Linked DNA regions of Macaca mulatta. The protein of the gene in region 2 binds, or shares a complex with, the protein of the main gene of each other region. Links are inferred from orthologs where the notes say so. Each region holds a gene or a part of one and is shown on either strand. Other genes may lie near its edges.

Region 1 (10,329 bases), on a different chromosome or scaffold from region 2:
CACCAATAACAGACAAACAGAGAGCCAAATCATGAGTGAACTCCCATTCACAATTGCTACAAAGAGAATAAAACACCTAGGAGTACAACTTACCAGGTATGTGAAGGACTTCTTTAAGGACAGCTACAAACCATTGCTCAAGGAAATGACAGAGGACACAAACAAATGGAAAAACATTCCATGCTCATGGATAGGAAGAATCAATATTGTGAAAATGGCCATACTGCCCAAAGTAATTTATAGATTCAGTGCTATCCCCATCAAGCTGCCATTGACTTTCTTCACAGAATTAGAAAAAACTACTTTAAATTTCATATGAAACAAAAAGAGAGCCCATATAGTCAAGATGATCCTAAGCAAAAAGAACAAAGCTGGAGGCATCACGCTACCTGACTTCAAACTATACTACAAGGTTATAGTAACAAATGCAGCATGGTATACATACCAAAACAGATATATAGACCAATGAAACAGAGGCCTCAGAAATAACACCATACATCTACAACCATCTGATCTTTGACAAACCTAACAAAAACAAGCAATTACGAAAGGATTCCCTATTTAATAAATGGTGTTGGGAAAACTGGCTAGCCATATGTAGAAAACTGAAACTGGACCCCTTCCTTACACCTTATACACAAATTAACTTAGGATGGATTAAAGACTTACACCTAAGACCTAAAACTGTAAAAACCGTAGAAGAAAAGCTAGGCAATACCATTCAGCACATAGGCATGGGCAAAGACTTAATGACTAAAACACCAAAAGCAATTGCAACAAAAGCCAAAATTGACAAATGGGATTTAATTAAACAAAAGAGCTTCTGCACAGCAAAAGAAACTATCATCAGAGTGAATAGGCAACCTACAGAATGGGAGAAAATTTTTGCCATCTATCCATCTGACAAAGGTCTAATATCCAGAATCTACAAGGAACTTAAACAAATTTACAAGAAAAAAACAAACACCCCCATCAAAAAGTGGGGTTGTAAAGTATAATAAAAAAAGAAAATGTGAGATACACACCCACCCATCATGGAATACTACTCAGTCATGAAAAGGAACAAAATGGCATTCACAGCAACCTGGGTGGAACTGGAGACTATTATTCTTTTTTTTTTTTTTTTGATACAGAGTCTTGCTCTATTGCCAGGCTGGAGTGCAGTGGTGCGATCTTGGCTCACTGCAACCTCTGCCTCCTGGATTCAAGCAATTCTCTTGCCTCAGCCTCCCGAGTAGCTGGGACTACAGGCACGCATCACCATGCCCAGCTAATTTTTGTATTTTTAGTAAAGACAGGATTTCACCATGGTTTCCAGGATGGTCTTGATCTTCTGACCTCATGATCTGGCACCTTGGCCTCCCAAAGTGCTGGGATTATGGGTGTGAGTGACTGCACCCAGCCACTGGAGACTATTATTCTAAGTGAAGTAACTCAGGAATGGAAAACCAAACATCACATGTTCTCGCTCATAAGTGGGAGGTAAACTTTGAGGACACAAAGGCATAAGAATGATACATTGGACTTTGGGAGCTGGGGGGGAACAGGTGGGAGGGGGATGAAGGATAAAAGACTACGCATTGGGTACACTATACACTGCTCTGGTGATGGGTGCACCAAAATTTCAGAAATCGCCACTAAAGAACTTATTCATGTAACCAAACACCACCTGTTCCCCCAAAAGCTACTGCAATAAAAATAAATTAAAAAATACATATGTAGAGAGAGGAAGCCCATTATTGTGTTACCCACCTGGAAGAGCACATAAACCGAGAAACTGAGAACAATTCACTCGTGACAAAGATAGCCTGAAAAGTAGAAAAATTTATCACGTTTAGTTAAGTTTTTAAAAAAGTTATAAATGGAAATTCAGTTTAATCAATATGGGTGCTTGCACCAAATAAGGGTGTGTTAAAGTTTTACAGTAGTCACAAAATAAGAATTCATAGTTAAATATCAATATGTTGGTCACACACAAAAAATAGAAAGACAAAGTTTTAAAACAGGGACTTATTTGTTGGTTATTATTTAAGCATTAAAAATGACAAATGGCTCATGCCTATGATCCCAGCACTTAGAGAGGCCAAGGCAGGCAGGCTGTTTGAGCCTAGGAGTTTGAGACCAGCCTGGGCAACATGGTGAAATCCTGTCTCTACAAAAACAATAAAACAAAAAGCCAAGTTAATTTAAATTTACCTTAAAGATAATAATGTCTAGATTGCCAAAAGGTAGTATATGGTGTACTTATGTTATCCTGTGGTATATTACCTGAGATAATTTGTATTAGTGATTTAGGAAAATAAATTGGAAAATGACTGACAATTTTCTCCCCAGCATTTATTCTACGTTACTATTAAAAAATTTTTTTTTGTAGAACTTCCTTAACAGATATGATTTCATATGATGAAAACCACAGGTTTTTGGTTAAAAAGAAATAACATCAAGAAATCACATTCCCAGTCTGCAGCACTCAGGGACAGAGGCTCACCTTGTCTGCATGTCAGAAGATGATTTAACGGAAAACAGGAGGCATCATCTAAATACCACCTGACTTTGAAAATTCGATGAATTTTTGTGTTTAAATGGGAGTTTTAAGTAAAAATGGAAGGTTTAATGCTATTTGATGGTAGGACAAAAGACCTTTAGGACTGTCTTTCTCTTCTGACAGTAGGGATGGTGCTTTCTTAAGGAGAGAGACTATTATATTTGCGGTGATGAGAGAAAGTATTTGATTGCTCATTGTAGAGAATCTGGTATAACCATAAGTCACTTGCCAAGATTAAACGGCTGATTTTATGTAGAAACTTTTTGTTATTGCATTGATGTGGCTTTTATCTTAAACAGTCTGTTGATAGATGCATTACTGTGACATTACTTCTAAGTATTACCTAGGATTTGATTTAATGAGAAATGATTAAATATCTCATCTCATATTTGGTATATTATTCTTTTGTCATAAAAGAATAAGTAGATTTTGGTACTAAATGGGAGATTATTTCAATCCTACCTCTATTTCTTACTTACTTGCTTCTACTAAGGTTTTCTCAACATATAAAGAAGGGCCAAAAAAAAAAGGGTCTTTTTCTATATTATAGACAGTAAATGAATCATGGAGTTAGAAGATCCATTAACAATTAGAATTATATAATCAGAGGGGGATAAACCCTTAATGTTTTCAATATGTGAACTACATTCTACTAAGATTATGATGTAACTAAATTTACATTTATGATGTAGATTGTGACTTTAGCTCATCATTGATCAGAAATGCTAACATACCATGATATCTGAATTGGAGTCTGTTCATCTTCAATAGGCTCTTCGTCTGATGAGTCAAACTCACTTGTTTGTATTGAACTAGGCTTCAAAAGAAATGTTATGTTAAATAACTGTAAAGAATTTTTCTGTAGTTTTAGGATAGCTAGTCCTTGTCTAAACACACACTGAATTCATATTTGCAATGTATTCAGTCATCAATCCAGAATATCACCGAGATCAGCAATATTAGTAATAAATGACTGCTATTTACCTTTCTATTAATAATTACAGCACTGCATAGTGGAAAGAGAGTTGGATTGGGAACCAAGACATCTGGCTTCTGATCTTGGTTCTGCCACTTACTGTATACTCTCTGACAAGCTACTTCAGTTGATTCTGGATCTCAGTTTTCCTCAACTATAAAGTGAGGAGATTTATTCATTCACAAATATTTCTTGACCACCTTCATTTGCCAAGCACTGGAGATGCAAAAGATCTATAAGATAGATAGCCTGCCTTCAGTATGGCTGGAGAGATAGATGTGTGCATAGATTACAGAAGAAAGGTATTATGTAAGTGCTGAAATGGAAGCAGAACTATATATTGTGGAGCAGAGAAGAGAGTGACTGACCATGTAGGGAGCTGTAGAAGGATTCACAGAGGAAATGCTTTAGCTGGGTTTTGAAGGAAGAGCAGGTTTTTAAGAAGATAGGAAAGGGAGCGTGCGGTGGCTCATGCCTGTAAATCTCAGCACTCTGGGAGGAGAAGGCGGGCGGATCACCTGAGGTCAGGAGTTTGAGACCAGCCTGGCTAACATGGCAAAACCTGGCTCTACCAAAAATATAAAAATTAACTGGGCGTGGTGGCACATGCTTATAATCCCAGCTACTCAGGAGGCTGAGGCAGGAGAATCGCTTGAACCCAGGAGGCAGCGGTTGCAGTGAGCCAGGAACACACCACTGCACTCTAGCCTGGGCAACAGGGCATGACTCTGTCAAAAAAAGAAAGGAAAGAAGGTAAGCCAAGGCCCTTGTATTGAGGAACTGTGATATCAAAATAGAGATGGAGTAGAGGAGATGAAGAAGTAGTTTTGCCCATCCCTTTTCTCAAAAAACAATCCCCACATCGCCTAGTAGTTTGGTGGGGGTGGTGTAGGTGAAATAACCTGCCAGTTTTATGAATCACTAGAGAGATTGAGACAGACTTTGTATGCTGATCTAAGCAGCTGGAACTTAATCCTGCAGCATTTTGACATGGAAGACTTCTACACTCCCTGCTGAAATTTTAAAGAATCAAAAGAAAAAGAAAAAGAAAAAGAAAAACAAAATAGAACAGAACAAAACCCATACCCTTTTCTCACTCCCTAGTTGAAACCAATTGAAAGATAAGGAAATGGAGCTTTATTATTGTATATCAAATGGAGTATGCAGCTTAAAGCTGTTGCCACATGCGCCTGCCCCTTGTTCAACCCAGAATTAGACAAATGTATCCACCCAGTCACAGGTGGCCATGGACAGTCTAGGGCTCCTGTGTGCCAGAGAGTGGACCAGAAAGCACCTTCTGCAGGCAGGCAGGTAGCTCCCAAGAGAGAAGGAAAGAAAAAGTTGAGATACTGGTGTTCGGTTCCTTCCAAACTCAGGGATCAGATAACTCAATAGGGACAGGTGGAGAAACAGGCCAGGAGTGAAGGACAGCTGATGTCCCTCCACATGGCAACATAGGGCGTAGCAAGTGTAACCACCTAATGCCCTTTCTAGCTCTGAAGCTGTATTTTACAACGGTCTTGGTACTGAAGATCACAGGACGGCCAATTTAGGCTATGTATTTTATTTTTTTCTTTCTTTTTCTTGAGACAGCGTTTTGCTCTGTTGCCCAGGCTGGAGGGCACTGGCGTGATATTAGCTCACTGCAACCTCTGCCTCTTGGGTTCAAGCTATTCGCGTGGCTCAGCCTCCTGAGTAGCTGGGACTACAGGCGTGCACTACCACGCTCAGCTAATTTTTGTATTTTTAGTAGAGAATGGGTTTCACCGTGTTGGCCAGGCTGGTCTCCAACTCCTGGCCTCAAGTGATCCGCCCGCCTTGGCCTCCCAAAGTGTTGGGATTAGAGGCGCGAGCCACCACCCAGCCCTAGGCTATGCATTTCTATTGCTTTGGCTCCATCTGAAGTATTATAATACACTGCACCCAAAGGAAAGGCTTCCAGTAGGTTGTCAACCCCGGCAGTAGGAAATATGGGTTAGGTGGGGGATCTTCAGCGTCTTGCCTGCATCTGCTTTTTCTTTAAAGCAGCTTTAATGATTCATATTTCAAATTTGTGGGGCCCATTCACCAGGTTTATTCATCCTAACAGAGCTGGACGTTTCTGCTTCCCCAGGCCCGGTGATTCTGAACGTCACGGGAAAAGGGCAGCATTGCCAAGTGGCCCTGGGGCATGGTGACAGCGGTGGTGTCGCCCACAAGCCGCGGCGTGGCATTCGTACTCATGGTTTCCCCAGTGGGCGCAGGGCAGCGGCCGGACGCCCTTCGGGGTTGGGGTATCGCGCCCACTCATCGCTGACACTCAAGTTCCTCGACTCGGTTTCCTCGGTACAACGAGGCTCGGCCTTCGTTGGCTGGGAGGCTTATGAGACCCCGCAGGGGACAGGCGACAGCCCACAGCAGGTGCACAGCGAATGTCCGTCTTTCCTTCGTCGGCCACCGACCCTGCTCCTTCGTCTCTAGTGCCCGTGCGTGGCAAAGTCACCTCCCCGACCCACAGGACGGTTATGGCGCAAGTCGCAGTGCTACCAGGCTACGGCTGCCCTCCGGCCCAGGATCGGGTCCCCGGGACCGCTTGCGTCCCTGCCGCCTCGCTCCTCCAAGCCCCAGCACGTCCGACTCACCGGCTTCATCGCTGGCCGCCCCAAGTCGAGACCAGTGCCGCCTCTCTCTGCAGCGCCGGCGACTCACCGGTGTCCGGGCCGAGCCCGCGCCCCCTCCGCTTAGCTCACTGGTTCGTCCTCCTGTGAGGTGGGCGCGGCGTCTTCCAGCAACCAATCAGATCCGCTCCTAGCTTCTTACTCCTCCTTCGGATGTCCGAAGGCTCGGCCTCTAATCGCTGATTGGTTCCTAGAAGACCTTTGAAAGACGCGCGGGAGGCGGGCCCTGTGGGACGTTGATTGGCTGGGAGGGCGCCCTCCTCCCGCCAGTTGGGAGAGTGCAGAGGGCGGAGGCGGGGCGGAAGAGTCAGAAGGCGGCCCTAGAACTTGCGGGACGCTGGAAAACTTTGCTTTCTGATGGCTGGAAGTCAGCGTGGTCCATAGGTTTGAGAGGTGTTTTTTGTTGTTTGTTTGTTTGTGGTGGAGTTCGCTTTTGTAGTCCAGGTTGGAGTGCAATGGCGCCATCTCGGCTCACCGCAACCTCCACCTCCCGGGTTCAAGCGAGTCTCTTGGCTCACCCTCCCGAGTAGCTGGGATTACAGGCATGCATGTGCCACCAAGCCTGGCTAAATTTTGTATTTTTCGTAGAGATGGGGTTTCTCCATGTTGGTCAGGCTGGTCTCGAACTCGGGTTGGGAGTTTTTGTGTTTATGACGGAGGTCTTACTATGTTGCCCAGGCTGGCCTTGAACTCCTGGCCTCAAGGAATCCTCCCGCCTTAGCCTCCCTTGTAGCGGCTACGGTAGGCAGTTTTTGTTTCTTTAAGTTGTAATTTTTTTATTTTTTAAGGGCTCAGGAAAGCACTGTATTGGATTGTCACATGAAAAGCATATCACATAGAGTTTGTAATTATATCTAGACATGCAAATACTAGGGAAAAAACTAAAAATCTGGAGTATAAACACATTTTATATGATTGAAGTTTTATTTTCTTTATCATTCCAGAAACTAGTCAAGTTACAGTGTAGATCAATCTTCCTGTCCCCCAAATATGAATTAAATTATATTGTGTGAAAGGGAGATTATAAAATGCCAGGTAAGATAGGTCTAAGGGCCAGTGTTTCTACATAATTAGCTGTAATCTTTTAAAAATGTATTTGAGTATTTCTCCCCCTTCTCCAGTCCCCCTTTAGCCATGGGAAAGGAATTCGTCTGGAGCAGATCTGAGAAAAATATGCAGAAATTTCAGCCCTGATTCATGTTGTGAAAACCAATGGGTATAGAACTATTAGAAGGAATTCCTTAGTAAAGAAGGTATCATAGTTTGACTTAGAGACTATTAGTCAGGGTTGCCCAGAGATAAAGAATGAATAGGATGTGTATGTATGGTTATAGAAACAGATTTATTTTAAGGAATTGGCTTCTGTGCTTGTGGAAGCTTGGTGAGTCCAAAATCTGATGGGGGGAGGCCAGTGTCCTGGAGACTCAGGAAAGGCTGTAATTCGAGTCCAAAAGCTGTTGTAGAACAAAGAAGAGCCAATGTTGCATGTAAAGTCTGAAGGCTGTCTACTGGCGAAATTACCCCTTGCACAGGGCAGGGTCAGACTTTTGTTCTCTTCAGACCTTCAACTGATTGGATGAGGCCCATCCATATTATAGAGGGCAGTCTGCTTTACTCAACATTTCCCAATTTAATGCAAATCTCATCCCAAAACACTTTCACAGAAACATCCAGAATAATGTTTGTCCAAATAACTGGGCACCATGGCCCAGCCAAGTTGATGCACAAAATTAACTATCCTAGAGACCCACAGAGATTTTTCCACACTCAGGAAATCCTTTTAGATCTGTGCTGTTCAATATGGTGACCACATTGGCTGGTATGTCAGGCCAAATTAGAAGACAAAATCAAATCAAAGGCCCAATTAGAACTCAAGGGCTACTTAGGAAATACCTGCTCTCTTACAATATAGGCCTTAGTAGGGTTAAGGAACAGACCACACCCACCACATATTTATAGCTATTGTTTTGATGTGTAAGTTTACATTTCATATTAGAAATGGCCATGGTACTGTGTACAAGAGAATGTAGGTGGGTATGTATGCCTAGACGCAGAGTCCTGCCTTTGGTCAAATAATCAACCAGTATTTAAGGTGCACCTATGTTTTGTTTTATGGCTAGGACCGTAGACTCTTTAAGCGGAGTGGCACAGTTTTAAAATACATTTGCATATATTTGAAAGTAAACCAGGCTGGCCCTGGGTGAACCTGTGAAATACAGTTGGCTGTTGGTGTTTCGGGCTCTCATTCCTCATGTTTGACCCTCCCCTCTCAAAAGCAAGAATCCATAAGGCTGGGCTGGTATGTTGGAGGAAAAGGGAGTGGTGGAAGCATGTGCTACAAGGCCACTGAGGGCTGAACAGTTCCAGAAAGTCGGTGGGCTGTGGAGTGTGTAGGATGGTGAAGCACACTCAGAGGTGTGCATTTGAGTATGCTTAAAAACAAAGTACCCCTGAATGGAGATTGAACTCTAGAATGGGAACCAGGCTGTACCCTTGGAAAAGGGGGCCTGGCCCAGGAAAGTTGAAAACGATAGCGAAAGACCACAAAAACAACTAACATCCAGCCTCACATTCAGTAGAATACGCTCATTTAACCATAGGCATCTTTTGTGTCATTTCCTGGTGGACCATTTTAACCACAGGCTTATTTCCATCCTGATCTCAATATCTTGAGCTCAAGATTTTATAATCAGCCAAACTTTTCCTTCCACTCTCCTCTGTTTATCCGACTGCTGGATGTTGAGAATGCCCACCCTGCCCTATCACCTATCAGCCTGTCTCTGGCCAGCTTCTTCTCTCTCTCTCAGCTCCAGCCCTGACTCCAGCCTCTGCGGAGTGATGATGGTGCTCTTTCTTCCTGGCCTCGTCATTCACTGCCTCAGATCCCTGAGTTTCTGCTGTTTCAACTTTTGTATCCCTCAAACCTGGAACTGCCACTTTTTGCATTTTAAGAACAGCTGGGCTGGGTGCGGTGGCTTATGCCTGTAATCCCAGTGCTTTGGGAGGCCGAGGGCAGGCAGATCATCTAAGGTCAGGAGTTCGAGACCATCCTGGCCAATATGGTGAAACCCCATTTCTACTAAAAATAAAAAATTAGCTGGGCGTGGTAGTGGGTGCCTGTAATCCCTGCTACTCAGGAGGCTGACACAGGAGAATTGCTTGAACCTGGAAGGCAGAGGTTGTAGTGAGCCAAGATCATGCCACTGCACTCCAGTCTGGGTGACAGAGTGAGACTGCATCTCAAAAACAAAACAAAACAAAACAAAACAAAAACAGCTGGATATACTTCTCTACATGCTGCTGTGATTGGGATGGAGACAAGAGAAGGAAGGGAGGAACATGGATGGATGGTACAAGTGGGTAAAGCACAAGAAGTGACTGCTGGGACAGCAAATGCAATCAATTCATCTTTTAATTATGTGTGTAGAGGATTAAATTTTGAAAGACTAATCTACATGTGTTATTTATAGATACTAAAAGTACAGCAAAGGGAAAAAAAGAACTTTAGTGTTATTTTAAAAAATTTTAACTCACTGTTTTATTATATTTTATCCTTTTTTAAATAAACATGAGGAGAAATTGAAAAAAACAGAAGTCTTAACACGTGATAGGAAGCTAAGTATAAACATATTAGAATCAAAATTAAGATAGAAATCTTAAGCACATTCAAAGCAGCAAAGCTTTGTTTCAGTTCAATGTTTAATGAACGTCGCATGGGTCAACCACACGTGAAATTAATTGTTAAGGAAAATAAATAGAAGACAAACATGTACAAAATATCATTAATGAAAATTGTGACCAAAAATGAAGATGTACTGATAAGGATTTTATATTATTTTAAGTTTTCTGGAACGGAGCCCCCAACATCCCATGAATATCTATGTCTTTCACACATTTGGGGTTAGCACAAAAAAAAAACTTTAAATTTTGTTTTGATTTTTTTTTTTTTTTTTTGAGATAGAGTTTTGCTCCTTGTCACCCAGGCTGGAGTGAATGGCACAATCTTGACTCACTGCAACATCTGCTTCCTGGGTTCAAGCGATTCTCCTGCCTCAGCCTCCCGAGTAGCTGGGATTATAGGCACCTGCCATGATGCTGGGCTAATTTTTGTAATTTTTAGTAGAGATGGGATTTCACCATGTTGGCCAGGC
Region 2 (10,285 bases):
AGACAATGGCAACTACAAGAAGTGGTAGCTTGGAGACGCTTTTTCAGAATCGTATGTAAATGTAAATAAAATAATCTTTGGAAAACTTTGCTGTTTGTGATATGAAACAGAAAGGAAAAAGGGCGGGCTTACTGGGAAATGCAGTGTCGAGAGGCAAATTCCCCGGGAGCCCTTTTCCTGCCGCTATGTATGTGCATGGGGGTGTGTGTGTGTGCATATATGGTGTGTATGTGGTGTGTTGTGTGTGTGTGGTATGTTGGCTGGGGGAAAGGAAGTTTGCTGGTGTGTGGAGAAAGTAGGAAGTATATAGACTTCAGTTTCCCCAGCCATAAATAGGAACGATAATAACCACTTTGTTCACTGTCAGCACTAGCCAAAATGGGGTGGGGTGGGTGGCCATGCACAGAGAGATTAGGAAAAGGGGTCCGAAATCAATGATCACATATACATATTCATATTCTGTTTCTCACCATTCTTTCAGTAAATAGGAAAGAGATGAACTATAAAACTAGGCACATTTTTTTAATGAACTACAAACTAAATTACAAATAACGTTAATAGCAAGAGCACTCAAGGACAAGGGTGACAGAAACAAATCATAAACAAAAAAAAATGCTTTTTTTTTTTTTAAGCACTGTCATTACAAAACCCGAAGGTGCACATGGCAACAAATCCACCCACTCTAACCAAAAAAAAAAAAAAAAAAAAAAAAAAAGCCAACCTTACTATGGGATATAACCTGAAATATAAATATAATTGTTCATCCGTCTTTTAAAGAAATATTTTTGCCCATGCCCTCACTCAATCACAGCCCTGAAAAAGTGTCAGTACTCTCAAAATGATGCCTAAACCCTAATTTCCGACTCCTATGGGGTAGGAGGTGGACTTCAGAGGAAAACGGGATCAGGGATCCCTGGCAACTGAAGAACTAAGAATACTAAAAGGAAGAGAAAAATTCAAACATCTCTCACCTGCCTCATAAGGCCATGGTGAAGCAATAGATTGGAATGAAGCACAATCCCTGTCCCAGGGCCTCCCAAATTCCTCATGCCTGTAGAAGGGACAAACAAGGGGACTGGGGCCAATCATTTTTCTGCAGCCCCACCCAGGCTGAGTCTTGAGTCTCCCAGCCTATTAGGTGAGGCAGAACACTAACTAGGGTATAAACTGATTGGATCTATTTTTTCAACCGAATTCTTTAAAATAGACTCCTCCCAGTGGTTTTGTTTGACTTGGTTTTCAAAAGTTCCAACTTAGCCCCCTGCTATCATTTGGCCTTTACAAACATTGCGGCAGCAGGAGGCTTGGGATCCTGGTCATCTCAAACACTGGAAATAATAATTATGGGGCATTCAGAGATTGGTACGGCAAATCTAACATGTAGGAAGGCTTTTTTTTTTTTTTTTTTTTTAATAGCAACCCTCTTCAGCAGTAACTAAGAGAAGGGAGAAAGGGTGGTGGAGGCTAACTTAAGTGCATCTAATACTGAAACTTCCTTTCATTTTCACTGGTTCCTCCCTTTCACCCCTGTATTCCCAGAGTTGGCTGGCCAAGACTAGAAGGTGAGTGTTTAAGGCAAGATCAGAGGGCCCACCTGAGTCCAAATAGCCCAAGGCCAAGCCAGGTCAAGCCCACACTGGAGCAGAGGGTGAGATTAGGGCTGGGGGCTTCGAGAAGGCTATCAGAGTCGAAGATGGGGTACTGGCTTGGTCACATCCTGGAAGAAAGGGTGAGCCAGGGCTGCCTTGGCCGAAATCCGCTTGTTAGGATCGTAGTGCAGCATTTGCTAGAGGGAGAGATGTATGTTGACTTCAATCATGTGATAGTGGACTAAATGGGCAGCAAATGTTCCCAGAAATCAGGAAACCAGAACTCCTTCTACCCAAGGCGGAATTCTTACTTCCATCCTCCCATAGCTGAACCAGTGTGCCAACAGGGAGAGCAGGAACCAGGGAAACAAAATACTGAGGCCCAGATTTCAGGGTCTCATCCTTCCTTCATCCTGGAAAAGCCCTTCCCTGGGAGAAATGAATGAGGGAAAACAGGTGCCCACTCTCACCGATAACAAGCTCCGTCCATCTTCATCCAGGGGAGGTACAACTTTACTAAAATCTTGCCGGGCCCACTTGGGGAAACTTGGCTTGTAATCAGGCATAGAAGTAACTCCTGGCCACACCACCTCATCTGGGGTCCCCAGAGTCCGAAAGATCCGGAAGAGCTGGTCAATCTCAGAATCTCCAGGGAATAGGGCCCGGCGAGTCACCTGAAAATGGGGAAAGAGAAAATACCAAGACCTATGTTGAAGTCAGTCAAAACTCTCCTCTATACAAAGGAGTTCCCACAGACAGTAGAAGGTCAGCAGGGCCCCATGACTCCCTCCCCAGGGCCTTTCATGGGGTCAGTCACACAGAACCTGAGACAATGAAGTCCCTTCATCTGTCTCCTCGCCCCCTCCTTCCTTCCCCCAACCATGGCTTTGCAGATCCCCAAGGCTGGGTGGGTCTGGGAGGGGCTGAATGTCTGCGATGCCACTGACATGTAGCAAAGGGATCCCAAGCCACTCACGGGGTATGGGGTAGACACTGCAGTCATCCCCCAACCTTGTGATGCAGCCACTTCTAGATAGGAGCACAGCGGGCAGAGGCTCTGTCTTCCATTTCTTCTGTGTTCCCCACAGTACCTAGCATGGTGCTGGCTACCCACTAGGTGCTTAACAAATATTTTTGGATGAATTGAGAGAGGAATACGGACAATTGTAAGGTAATGCACTGGGGGATAAATGCACATTACATATGTACAGGCTAATGGTCTTTAAGCTGTTGGTTACAACCCAGATAAAAGACAATAAAACATATTGCTGATTTGAAGCCTCAGCCTACTGCACTGCACTGTTGTATTAAAGGAGATAGGAGCTTCTACATAAAGCCAGGCCTCAAGGATCCTTCAATCTGAAAAGCCAGAGGTTGAAGGGGGACATGATCTAAATCTTTTTTTTTTTTTTTTGAGATGGAATCTCGTTCTGTCGCCCAGGCTGGAGTGCAGTGGTGCGATCTTGGCTCACTGCAACCTCCATCTCCTGGGTTCAAGCGATTCTCCTGCCTTGGCCTCCCAAGTAGCTGGGATTACAGGTGTGTGCCACCACACCTGGCTAATTTTTGTATTTTTAGTACAGATGGGGTTTCACCATTTTGGCCAGGCTGGTCTCGAACTCCTGACCTCAGGTGATCCACCTATACCTCAGCTTCCCACAGTGCTGGGACTATAGGTGTGAGCCACTGCACTCTGCCTAAATCTGCAATTTAAATGAAGGGTGTGGATAAAGTGACCACAATTGTCTTCACTACATTGCTGGCACCACACAATAAGGTCTACAAGCCTTGAAATGAAGGCCTGAAATAAAAGAGGCACTAAATGGAATCATTCTCCCAAATATATGCAGACTCAGCTAAAATGGCTGCAGAAATGCTTTATGTCATTTCAGGGATAAGAGAAGTATACTAGGTACTAAGGCTGTTTGAGGATATCCTAACATTGTGGTTGATATTGGGGCAACAGTTGCATCCTTTCCCACCATTCCCCTTGGTGCTACTTTAGAGACAGACCCCTGTGATAGAAGGGCCATAGGTCTGGGCCAAGAAACAGTTCTGTTGTTCTTGAATGTGGGGAGGAGGGGGCTGGGTGAACTTGGGCAAGCCTCCATACCATCTCAGCAAAGATGCAGCCCAGGCTCCAGATGTCCACGGCTGTGGAGTAGTATTTGCAGCCCAGGAGGATTTCAGGAGCTCGGTACCACAGGGTCACCACCTGAGGGACAGGAATAGGGAGAGGTGGAGTGGTTTATAGGGTATGGAGATTCCCACATCTCAGTTCCCCAACACTACTCTGCTAACTCATGGCCTCTTAACAAGCAGTTTCCTTCCCTCCCTCTTTCCCCTCTCACTGATTTCCAGTCCATAGTTCCGGAGACCATATTTTCTGAACCCCCAATTTGAGATCTTCCTGGAAAAACTTGAGACAAATGGTCATAATTTGATTTCGAAATTTTTTCTTTTTGTAGATTTGTAGAGATGGGGTCTCGCTATGTTGCCCATGATGGTCTCGAACTCCTGGGCTCAAGTGATCCTCCCACTTCAGCCTCCCAAAGTACTGGTATTACAGGCGTGAGCCCAGTTAGCAACACAGTATGAATTCCATGCATGCCCTAAGACTCTTGAAGATGTCAAGAGATTATTTCTACCTAGTAAGAAACTGTTAGCCAGATATTTTTAGTAAATTTGTGAATACCCTAGTTAACACCTCTTGGGAAGCTCAGAGAAGAAAGGCATAAAGGGACTCACCTCATGGGTGTAAGTACGAACAGGGACTCCAAAAGCTCTGGCTAGTCCAAAGTCTGCTAGCTTGATAGCCCCCTCTGTGTTAATAAGCAGATTCTGAGGCTTAAGGTCTCGGTGGAGGACCCGATGAGAATGGCAGAAAGCTAGGCCCTGGAGCAGCTGGAACAGATAGCTCTGACAAAGAAGAAAGAGAGGACTGTGTTTCTCCATCACAGTGAGCAGACTGGGTTTGCTCTGTGACCCCAAAACTCTACTAAAGCCTTTACTATGTTGGATTATAGTTACATATTTACAAGCTATTTCTCCCAATGGACTGTCAGCCCAGAGAGGATAAGGACCAAGTCTTACTCAATTTTGCTTCCCTTTTCTACATGCTGTGCATTGAACAAATGTTTGTTAATAAAGTAGCTCTGGGAGTGAAGAATCCAGCCCTAAAATAGACAATAGAGACTTACTAGCTGGTTCTTCCACCAAACAGAAGGGCTTTTTGGAGGAATTTACCAAGTGCTCTCAAATCCCATTTATCTGAGTTTCATCTGACCTCCCACCTGAGTTGCTAGGTTGACTCACTAGAGTTTCAACTTTGATTGTTCAGTCCAACCCTAGGGTTAATGAATATAATGAGCAGGGAAGGAGACACAAAAAGAAGGGGAGTGTGTGTGTGTAGGAGATGAGGGCTCAGAAGGAGGCCAAGATCATAAAATATCACCCTGAATTGCCTGCCACCAGTACCCCAAGACATGCCCATGATGGGAGGAGCTGATGAGAAGCATTACCTTGATGAGGGGAAGAGGAATGCCAGTGAGAGCAGAGGCATCCATGAATTTCTTGAGATCTTGGTGCAGAAATTCAAAAACCAGGTAGAGTTTATTTTCTGTGTGAATGACATCCAGCAGCCTAGAGAAGTAAAGTTTGAGGAAATGGAGGTGCGAGAGAGAGAAAAGCCCACACTGTACAGACAACTCATCCTCCTTTCCAGCTGGATTGCCTCTCAGACACATACTCACTTGACAATATTAGGATGGTTAAGCTCCTTAAGCAGAGAGATCTCTCGGATGGCAGTACTGGGCACACCCTCAGTCTCACTTGGAGAGGTTGGGAAAGCAGAGACGGGAATATGGTTACAAATATTCCTTTTTCCCCCACCTAGTCATTTCTTTCCCCCAAGGAGACACCACCCAGCACCCCCTAGGAAAGTCAGAGAAAAGAAAGGGTGCTGGAAAGAGCTAATTCTTGGGTAGTCAGGGTGTGGCTTTTGCACATATTAAGGTCATTATCTTGTCTTTTCCCAGGGGTAGGTAAGTAAAGCCGTCTGGTGAAGGTAAAGCAGGGAGGCTGTAATGGGGAAAAAAAAAAAAAAAAAGCAGGAGTAGTCCCCAGTCTCTCCAGAGGGGCCAGTGAGGTTCAACTGCCATTCTTTGGAAAGAGGAGAGAATTCTAAGGTGAGGGTGGGGCAGTGAGGAGAGCTCTTCATTCAGAAAGGCGCTCCTCGCCGGTTCCCACATAACTCCACTCCATGGAGAGTCTTGGACCTCATCTCAGAGGCCTCCTTTCTCTCCCCGAGTCTCTGTGTTCGCACATTTGGGGGCACGATCCGGCTCAGTTTGGGAAGAAAGTTTTCCATGGATTCCACACCATCCTATACTCTCCCCAGGGAGTATAAGTATACACTCCACCTTCTACTGGCCCCCAACCCACCTCTCCACTTCTAAAGAAGTCCGTCCCTGTTGTCTTCCGGTCCCTGGACGGCTACCCGCCCGTGGGGGATTGGGGGGGGACAGTCAAGGAGGTCCCCAGTTAGGAGTCCCGGGTACAGAGGCCACTCACGTGTCCAGGCGGATTTTCTTAAGCGCCACCACTTCTCCCGTCAACTTGTTTCTGGCTTTGTACACAACTCCGTACGTGCCCTCTCCGATCTTTTCCACCTTTTGGAAGTTCTCCATGAAGCGCCAGCGAGTCGGGTCAGCCCGGCCCTGGAGTGGGGGCCTGGGAACCCTGCAGAAGGCGGACCCTGGCTCTCGGGGGCCGAGGAGGGGGAAACAGGGCCCAGTATCGTGCCCCCGGGTCGGGATGGAACGCAGTATACCTCTCGCTCTTGTCAATTTGGCCAACTTGAAACAATGTTGCCGCCTCCCCCCGAGTTCCCGACCGCCACCAGAAGCCCCGCCCCTGCTTCCCGCGTTTCCCTGGCTCCGCCCCCAGGCATTTCTATTGGTCAACGTCAGAGCCGGGGGGCGAGTGCAGCGCTCCTCCCCGCAAATGACCCCGCCCCAGGCAAGTTTGGTTCTTCGGGGGCTAGACAAATTTCTTTCTCGGTGGGGCGGCTGAACAGTCTTCCCAAGTACCTACTTTGGGTCCAAGTTTCCTACCTGTGTCTCTAGTCTGTAGGGATTTCTTGATTTCTAACTCACTATTTTCACCACTCCTGGGGAAAATATGTATCGACCTAAGGTTAAATTCCACCTGGCCCAGGAGCCTCCTTTGAAAAGCAGGAAACTAGGAATCTCGTTGTAAAGAATTCCTGGGCCTCAGAGGAGTCATTGCCTCTGCCTCATAGCCTACCCCGACGCTGTCTGTGTTTTGGGATGCAGGCTTCTGTTTCTGTTTTTTTGAGAAGTTCCTGGTTTAATTCACTCTCCCATGATGAACTGTTGTGTCTGGTATGTGTTATGCAGCTGCCTTTCAGTCAGCCCTTGCCCGGGAGTATATGAGAGTGACCCAGTGAAACCAGAAACTGCCATTGAGTAGCAGGATGGGAAAGCAATGTCTAGGGACCAGGATCCCTTTGTCAGTTTTTCCTTCTTCCTCTTCTCTGGCCCCTCCCAGGCCTTCTCTGAGGGAGAAGAGGAAGGGCTATGCAAATGAGCACCCTTTTCTTATATAGGGGCCTATCCCAGTCCCCCCAGTGCCTTTGGTTGCTGGAGGGAAGAACACAATGGATCTGGTGCTAAAAAGATGGCTTCTTCATTTGGCTGTGATAGGTGCTTTGCTGGCTGTGGGGGCTACAAAAGGTATGTGTGGATATGTGGACATAAGCAGGTGTGAACTTGGGGATGAATTCCCCCTGCTCTGGTTTCTCTCCTCCTAATGGGAGATAGCGGCAATATTTCAGGCGTCTCCCACTCATTTGATTTAGTGAGAATGTGGGCACCTGGGCTCCCTCCCTACATGGAGATTTGGGATTGAGCCTGAAAATAATCTCATATGCTTGGAGGGGCAGAAGAATAGAAGGTCTCTGTGGCACTGATTCTGAGGCTTCCTTGGCAGTGAGCTGGAGCAGGGGCTCCAAAGGGGTGAAATGTGCGGGAGACTCTTTTAAGAAATGTCTCTTGGGGTAGGAGATTTAAAGTGGGGAGTCAGAGAATGTAGTATTGGGTAAGAAGACTAAGGAGATACAATCCTCTCCCCTTGGGATGGGTACGGGTGAACACAGCCCAGACCTTTTGTTCTGGGGCTGGGAGAGATAGGCAGAGGGGTCTCAGCTGAGCATCACATGAAAGGGCTCTGGGGGATTGGGCCTCGTGACAGGAGCAAGGGGAGGGGGTGAGGTGGTGAGAGGGTCTGGAATGTCCCGTGCTGCTCTGAGGAGAGTTGGAAGTGGAGAATGAATGGGGTATCTTATGACTTATCTTGCTCTAGTGGTGGGATGCTCAATGAGATGATTCCAGATCCTCCCCCAGCAGAATCAACTAGGGTTACAACACACATTACAAAGGGGATGAGGCCGGGCGTGGTGGCTCACGCCTGTAATCCCAGCACTTTGGGAGGCCGAAGTGGGTGGATCACGAGGTCAGGAGTTCGAGACCAGCTTCGCCAATATGGTGAAACCCCGTCTCTACTAAAAGTACAAAAATCAGCTGGGCATGGTGGCGCATGCCTGTAGTTCCAGCTACTCGGGAGGCTGTGGCAGGAGAATCACTGGAACCCAGAAGGTGGAAGTTGCAGTGAGCCAAGATCACACTACTGTACTCCAGCCTGGGTGACACAGCGAGTCTTCGTCTCGAAAAAAAAAAAAGAAAAGAAAGGGGATGAGGCCTGGCACAGTAACTCATGCCTGTAATCCTAGCACTTTGGGAGGCTGAGGTGGTTGGATCACTTGAGGTCAGACCAGCCTGGCAAATATGGCGAAACCCCATCTCTACTAAAAATGCAAAAATTAGGTGGGCATGGTGGTGCGCCCCTATAATCCCAGCTACTTGGGAGGCTGAGGCACGAGAATCACTTGAACCTGGGAGGCAGAGGTTGAAGTGAGCTGAGATCACACCACTGCATTCCAGCCTGGGCAAAAGAGCAAGACTCTGTCTCAAAAAAATAAAAAAGAAAGGAAATGAGGAGGCTCACACCTGTAATCCTAGCACTTTGGGAGGCTGTGGCCATAGGATTGCTTGAGCCCAGGAGTTCAAGACCAGCCTGAGCAACATAGTGAGACCCTGTCTCTACAAAAAGTAAAAAAATTAGCCAGGCCTAGGCCGGGCATGGTGGCTCATGCCTGTAATCCTAGCACTTTGGAAGGCCAAGGCAGGTGGATCACCTGAAGTCGGGAGTTTGAGACCAGCCCGATCAACATAGAGAAACCCAGTCTCTACTAAAAATACAAAATTAGCTGGGCATGGTGGCGCATGCCTGTAATCCCAGCCACTCAGGAGGCTGAGGCAGGAGAATCGCTTGAACCCAGGACGTGGAGGTTGTAGTAAACCGAGATCGCGCCATTGCACTCCAGCCTTCCAGCCTGGGCAACAAGAGCGAAACTCTGTCTCAAAAAGAAAAAAAAATATATTATCTGGGCCTGGTAGTGAGCACCTGTGGTCCTAGCTACTTGGGAGGCTAATCAGGAAGATGGCTTCAGCCCAGGAGTTTGAGGGTGCAGTGAGTGAGTGATGAATGTGCCACTGCACTCAGGGTGAGAGAGCAAAACCCTGTATCAAAAGGAAAGGAAAAGGAAAAGGAAAGGGGAAAGAAAAGGGGAAAGGGAAGGAAGTTTCTGCAGGAAAGGGAAAAATGGGGTGAGGGTAGTTTTTGCTGTCCTGAAATATATACAGATAGGAGGGGAGGGGAGAGAGGTTTCTGCAGGAAAGGGGAAAATGGGGTGAAAGTAGTTTCTGCTGTGCTGAAATATATGCATTATATCCCAGCCCCGCTTTCTCCCTAGATGCTTAGTCTCACAGATTTCTAGGAAGTTCTTGATCTGACTTTCCTCACTGTGCTGCAGTTTCAAGTCTTTTTCTTTTACTACATTCCTTAATGTATCCTGGAAAGAGTCTGTTCACACCCACCCACCCAAGGCTCTTAAAAAAAGATTGTGCTTATATTTCGGATCCTGATTTTAAAAATCATAAGACATTTTTCTAGATATTAATGAAATTTTATATGGACTGAGTTTGATAATTTTGTCTAGCATGAAATGACATTGTACTTATGCAAGAAAATACTCATATTTTTAAAATTTGTAGGGTTAATACAATGTTTGGGATTTGCTTTTACATACTTTAGCCAAAACAAAAACAACAACTAGTAAGGATAAACAAAGCAAATGTGGCAAGGTGTCGATAGTTGTTGGACCTGGGTAGGGCAGATGGAGGTCCAGCATATCCTTTTCTTCTCAGACTTCTCTTGGTCAGTTACAATAATTTTGTCTACCCTGTCCCCATGCCCAATCTCTGCCAGCCTCTAATCCATCCTCCTCACTGCTTGCCATCATGATCTTTCTAAAACACAAATTTGATCATATTCAAAAGTAAATTTTTTTTTTTGAGACGGAATCTTGCTCTGTCGCCCAGGCTGGAGTGCAGTGGCGTGATCTCGGCTCACTTCCACCTCCGTCTCCCGGGTTCAAGCAATTCTCCTGCCTCAGCCTCCTTAGTAGCTGGAACTACAGGTGCCTGCCACCACGCCCAACTAATTTTTGTATTTTTAGTAGAGACAGGGTTTCACTTGGCCAGGCTGGTCTTGAA

Evidence for each region. Proteins that work in one complex are often made in the same cells at the same time.
Region 1: the proteins of CDK2 (region 2) and CDKN3 are in contact, whole or in part, in a crystal structure (PDB 1FQ1), measured with the Homo sapiens proteins. The link is inferred for Macaca mulatta from reciprocal best matches to the Homo sapiens genes CDK2 and CDKN3. Residues at the interface, in NP_001789.2 of Homo sapiens: Tyr15, Glu42, Thr158, Tyr159, Thr160, His161, Val163, Val164, Leu166, Leu174, Gly176, Asp206, Ser207, Glu208, Ile209, Leu212, Asp235, Lys237, Phe240; in NP_005183.2 of Homo sapiens: Phe53, Lys54, Asp55, Arg57, Tyr87, Asp110, Gly111, Tyr141, Gly142, Gly143, Leu144, Gly145, Arg146, Ser147, Arg172, Ser177, Gly178, Ile180, Gln181, Thr182, Ile183, Lys184, Tyr186, Asn187, Glu191.

What each region holds. Positions count from the first base shown.
Region 1 is NC_133412.1:127,508,806-127,519,134, reverse strand, and holds the start of CDKN3 (cyclin-dependent kinase inhibitor 3), read right to left. Parts: upstream 6,204-10,329; 5' UTR 6,152-6,203; coding exon 6,143-6,151; intron 3,363-6,142; coding exon 3,280-3,362; intron 1,809-3,279; coding exon 1,753-1,808; intron 1-1,752. UniProt on the Homo sapiens protein: May play a role in cell cycle regulation. Dual specificity CC phosphatase active toward substrates containing either phosphotyrosine or phosphoserine residues. Dephosphorylates CDK2 at 'Thr-160' in a cyclin-dependent manner.
Region 2 is NC_133416.1:63,108,239-63,118,523, reverse strand, and holds CDK2 (cyclin-dependent kinase 2), read right to left. Parts: upstream 6,278-10,285; coding exon 6,162-6,277; intron 5,420-6,161; coding exon 5,342-5,419; intron 5,232-5,341; coding exon 5,111-5,231; intron 4,509-5,110; coding exon 4,338-4,508; intron 3,805-4,337; coding exon 3,703-3,804; intron 2,710-3,702; coding exon 2,566-2,709; intron 2,264-2,565; coding exon 2,060-2,263; intron 1,787-2,059; coding exon 1,682-1,786; 3' UTR 1,391-1,681; downstream 1-1,390. Other genes in the region: melanocyte protein PMEL, read left to right, coding at 6,276-6,608, 7,219-7,345. UniProt on the Homo sapiens protein: Serine/threonine-protein kinase involved in the control of the cell cycle; essential for meiosis, but dispensable for mitosis. Phosphorylates CABLES1, CTNNB1, CDK2AP2, ERCC6, NBN, USP37, p53/TP53, NPM1, CDK7, RB1, BRCA2, MYC, NPAT, EZH2.